Kluyveromyces lactis: one gene and its partner. The protein of the gene in region 1 purifies or fractionates together with the protein of each later gene. This does not show direct contact. Links are inferred from orthologs where the notes say so. Each region holds a gene or a part of one and is shown on either strand. Other genes may lie near its edges.

The links. The genes of interacting proteins can lie anywhere in the genome.
Region 2: the proteins of SND3 (region 1) and EXP1 purify together in Saccharomyces cerevisiae (affinity purification with mass spectrometry; 3 studies listed by BioGRID). This does not show direct contact. The link is inferred for Kluyveromyces lactis from reciprocal best matches to the Saccharomyces cerevisiae genes SND3 and EXP1.

Annotation. Positions count from the first base shown.
Region 1 is NC_006038.1:831,984-834,571, forward strand, and holds SND3 (Snd3p), read right to left. Parts: upstream 1,173-2,588; coding exon 600-1,172; downstream 1-599. Other genes in the region: NEDD8-activating protein UBA3, read right to left, coding at 1-294; glucose-induced degradation complex subunit VID24, read left to right, coding at 2,431-2,588. UniProt on the Saccharomyces cerevisiae protein: Functions in the SND pathway, a SRP (signal recognition particle) and GET (guided entry of tail-anchored proteins) independent pathway for targeting a broad range of substrate proteins to the endoplasmic reticulum.
Region 2 is NC_006041.1:786,784-789,283, forward strand, and holds EXP1 (Exp1p), read right to left. Parts: upstream 1,100-2,500; coding exon 668-1,099; downstream 1-667. Other genes in the region: ubiquitin-specific protease UBP1, read left to right, coding at 1-523; YFH1 (ferroxidase), read left to right, coding at 1,513-2,085; PBI2 (Pbi2p), read left to right, coding at 2,492-2,500. UniProt on the Saccharomyces cerevisiae protein: Specific cargo receptor protein for the plasma membrane ATPase PMA1 that acts with PSG1 to promote the transport and maturation of PMA1.

The DNA of each region.
Region 1 (2,588 bases):
GTCATCGTTGAACTGAGTCAAATCTTGATTGTGAGGCACCACATGCACAAAACCTGTAACTCCATTCTTGCAAGGTATTTGCAATCTATTGATAGCTTCTGCAGCTACAGACGCTTTTGGTTTGCCAATATCACGGGTACTGAATAGAAATTGACGGTTCAAATTGGTCAATTCGATGGTATCCATATCGACAATATGTAATTCTGGCAAACCGTACAGCGCCAATGTCTTGACAATCTCACATCCAAGACCACCGGCACCAAGGATCAATATTTTTACATCACTGACATCCATTTTGCTTGGAGGATATTGATCTGGTCGGCTCGATCAGTAACAGTTAAGGGTTGGGTCTGATCTTTATAGAATAATATTCACGTTTCTTTCAAATAAAGTGCGAAGTCTATGTGTACAATTTAACACTTAAACACGAAAGAAACTGAACAAAAGCTACGATAAAACATCCTATTGAGGTATCTTAATAGTTGTATACATACACGCATGTACATTTATATACATATATACGTGTTTATTTATAAGAGAATGGTGAGAGATGGATGAAGAAAACACATGATTGGAAAACGCAACGATGCGCGTCCCGATTATTCAGCTTTGACACCACCGTTACCAGCCTTTTCAGCAGTTTCGATAGATTTCTTGTCAGTCTTTGGTTCACTGGCACCACCGGCACCACCGAACAAAGATGGAGTCTTGAAAGGTCTCTTCAAATCACCAGAAGCTGGTTTTCCGAACAAATGAATTTGAACTTCGTTATGTTCCAAAGCGGACTTGATTGGTGAGATGGTTTGCATGAACAATGGGTTGGTGTATTTCATGTACAAATGCATGAAACCCATCATAGCCAAACCAGTGTAGATGGATTTAATGGCAGAATCAATCTGTTGTAAATCGTAATCACGAACGGTAGTGACTTCCAATTTTTTCTCGGTTTGACCACCCAATGGGTTAGCTGGAGCCACGTATTTCAAAGTGGCCAAATCGTTCTTCTTAACGATTTGAGCTCTAGCGTATTGGTAGATGGACCAAGTGATGGCAACAGAAGCGACATAAGCGATACGGATGTACAACACGATCGAAGGATCCTCCATATCCAAACGACGAGATACTTGCATCATGATCAACATGATGACTAGGTTACTGATTTGAGCATTCATGGTGGTGGTTAGAGAGTTACAGCTGGGATTGGCTTGGTAAGAAAGAGCACTTCTCTTCTAACTATGAATTGCTTATCGACGGCAGATTCCAGTGGACAAAGGACAACTAACTAACTAATTATTAGAAAAGGCATACATAAATCAGTAAGTATATAAAGTTGAAAAAGAGTAGTTCCGATAATACGTGCAACAAGTAGTAGTGCATCATTTAATAGATACGTATGTGAAAAGATGGTATACAGATTTTATTTTAAATTCCAGTCTGAATGTGGAAGAAGTGACGAGAAAATCTTTTGACGATGAGAGAGATACCCATTGTGTTACCCGGAATAACGTTGAACGGTGGCGAAAATACAAATATAGCAAATATACATATATCCGGGTAACATAAGCGGGCGCGTTATAACAGTAATCACGTGACTAGAAGAGCCACACTTTTTTGACAGCATACACCGAGCGTAGAGAAAGAAAGAGTTAGCTGCGCTAAGTTGTTACCCGCACCTCGGAACAAACCGGATCGGGCTATGTCTGTGAATGTTCCTTTCCCCTGTAGCAACATTCTCTCGTATTTCTTTTTGTGAACTTTGGTCCTTCTTTGATTCTTCCTCCGCCATTTCGTTGGGTACCTCTCTGTTCCAACTTGGTGCCGGAAAAAAAGAAAATCCAAAACGAAAGGTTTTTCCGGGTATTTTGCCCAGAAACCGGTGCACAGTCTCTTCGATATTTCCCCCCGTTTCTTTTCCTTCAACACCAGACTCGCACCTCGATCATAATTCACTCCTGAACACATTTACTCTCTTTTTACTTTTTTCCATTATGTGTCACTCCTTTCACCTATGCAGCCATTTTACTTCTGTCTCTGCCTTGTTCATTGGTTTTTCCCAGTCCAGTTGATAGGATAGAGTCATGGTTGGAACTGGAAATCTTCCTCTTCCGCGTGTTTCATTGTCGGTTTCTTTGCCGTGTTTTATTTCTTTTCCTTTTATCTCTTTTTCTTATTTCTTTATCGATGTCGATCTGGTCTTCGCTTTTTAAAGGTGGCCTGGTGATGCTTTTTATATTACCTTCTTGATTGAGATAGTTATTATTATTATTATTACTATATATATGTATATATACCGAGTGGTTATTGTTGGACGTATTAATCTGTTCGCTGCTTCATCGCAGATTGCCTTTGTCAAGTGAGTTAGTTACTTGCTTTAGAAAACTAGTTACAACTTACAAGTTGTAAGGCAAGATACATTCATACATTTTACAGATGATCAACGAAGATACACGTTCGCATAGCTCTGGGTTGGAGACGCAACTCGCCAAGGCGAGTAGCTCGTCTCCATATAAGGGTCAGGGTCAGACCCAGGAACAACAGCAACAGCAACAGCAACAGCAAAAACAGCAATCACCTATAGCATTCCCTGC
Region 2 (2,500 bases), on another chromosome or scaffold:
AAAACCATTATTAGGTGGCAATCAAGATGTGTCTATCTCCAGAGGAAACCTCGATATAGTAGATGCCGAAGGCAACTCTGAGCAAGAAGATGATCCTGAAGATGATGATGAGGATGAAGCTTATGAAGAAGACGAAGCTGAAGAAGACGAGGAAAACTCCGAAGAAGAATCAGATGACTCCTTGCCAACACCTCCGCTTCCTCCTACACAACCAATTGTGTCCAGCGTTCCTGCCGGGCCTTTGACATATGTTTTAAGATCTGTTATTGTACATTATGGTACTCATAACTATGGTCATTACATTGCATTTAGAAGGTTCCGTGGTTGCTGGTGGAGAATTAGTGACGAAAGTGTTTACATTGTCGACGAACAAGAAGTGCTTTCTACCCCCGGTGTTTTCATGTTGTTCTACGAGTACGATTATGATACAGAAACAGGGAAGATGAAAGACGATACTGAATACGAGAATGAATTCAACGTAGAGATTGAAGGTGAACCTGCTGTTGATCAAGTAACTCATTGAATTTTATTTTGCAATTTCACGCATCTAGTTACATAGATACATAAATATCACAAATCCCCTAATATAATAGCATGTTACAATCAGAGTTTTGGAGGAGTTTGAAACGCTGTACGTAAACCTCTTTACTTGTGAGAACAAAAAGGCTCACACAAGATTTTCCTGTGTCTCATTTTCTTTACCCAAATACTGGGCATACCTTGCAGCTTCCTCTTGTTGTTGCTCTCTTAAATCCTCCGCGATCAACTCATCAACATCATAATCAAATTCAGCTTCGTCCTCATTGTATTTACCAATGACACGCTTCTTCAACCCTGTTTTCCCATCGATTTCGAACTTCCGAGTCCCAAATCCCTCACCTTCTTGTGATGAACTAACTTTAAACTTCACAGGTGCATCCTCTTTCTTCAATTTTGCATATTTTGCAAGGGATCCAGCCTTTTCCGAATCTTTGGCATCACCACTGCGTCTGGTAGTCTTCTTGTCCACTGAATATGAACCAATTCCTCCAATTAGCGGTAGTAATACAACGAAAGCTACCACTAAAAGAAACACAATTAAATATACAAATGGGTTCATTGCGAAAGGCAGTACTGACGTCTAGTTGGCACTTTTCGTCAAGAAGTTGATATTATATCTTAAGAAACAGTTGTTTCCCTTTGTATGCATAGCCATTAGCCATATAGTGTGAGTGTCGGCTCATCGATCTTTTTTTTTCAATATAGATTGTGGAAATTAGATATAAACTTAAAAGACTTGAAGGACCTTTTCAGTTGAAGTAGGTTGAGAAATCACAGTTTAGGTACGTTATTCTCTATCACGTTGAGTTCAGCATACAACATATTGAGGTGCGAAAACTGAATCAGTCCTAGTTGCTATTAGCTTGAATTAGTAAATTTACCTTGAGGCTTGCGGGAACAGACAACGTTCAAAGGAATTATTCGGAGTATTGAATTGATACAGTAGGAAAGAAATTAGAAGATAAGGAATAAATGCTAGTGAAAAATAGCTCCAGGGTCATTAGAAGCGTCATTTCCAGACGTAGTATTGTTACCAAAGCGATACCTAGCATAGGTCTCGCAAGAACTGCACCAACTAGGGCTCCTGTGTTGTCAAAACTCGGGATTTTGAATCAACATAATCTACCCTTTGTTACAGTACAGCGGATGCATAACAGTATAGCAGCATCAACAGATGGGAAAACTATCCCAGAAGAGATTCTGGATATGCCTATCGAAGTGTATCACGAAATTTCTGATGAGTTTATGGATAGCTTACTGGATCAGCTCGAAATTCTCTGTGATTATCATCCAGAAGTCGTGCAGGATGTTGAGATGTCACAAGGTGTGATGAGTATAGAAGTTCCTTCCGTTGGTACATATGTAATCAACAAGCAGCCCCCAAATAAACAAATATGGTTGGCTTCTCCGGTGTCTGGGCCCAACCGATTCGATTACTATCAAAAGGAGTGGGTTTCGTTGAGAGACGGTACGAAGTTACTGGATATCCTAAACAAAGAGCTCAGTGACCGACTAGAAGGCGACGAAATTGACCTACATTACTGAACGATGTAAATATGATCTTGCTGCTCACAAACTGCCTTACAACTATGGCATGTCCGCAGTTCACCGTTAAGGACCCAATTTCGCAGAAACAATTCAGAGATCACAATCAACCAATTTTACTCTTATTTATGTATATACTTTTGTTTGTTTCATTTATTTATACCTATAACGTCCAAAATATACCTTACTGACGCGATTGCACTTACACAGTCCCTGACTTCTTTTGTTCTTTATAGTCTATACTTTGTTGCTATATAAATGAAATCTGTTTGACTCAGTAACTTTCTCTTCTATAAATGAAATCTGTTTGACTCAGTAACTTTCTCTTCTATAAACCACATTTGATAGTCTCGGTAAAGAAGGGGTCATTCTGAGCCAGAAGCAAACAACCCCAATCATAACAATCATGACATTC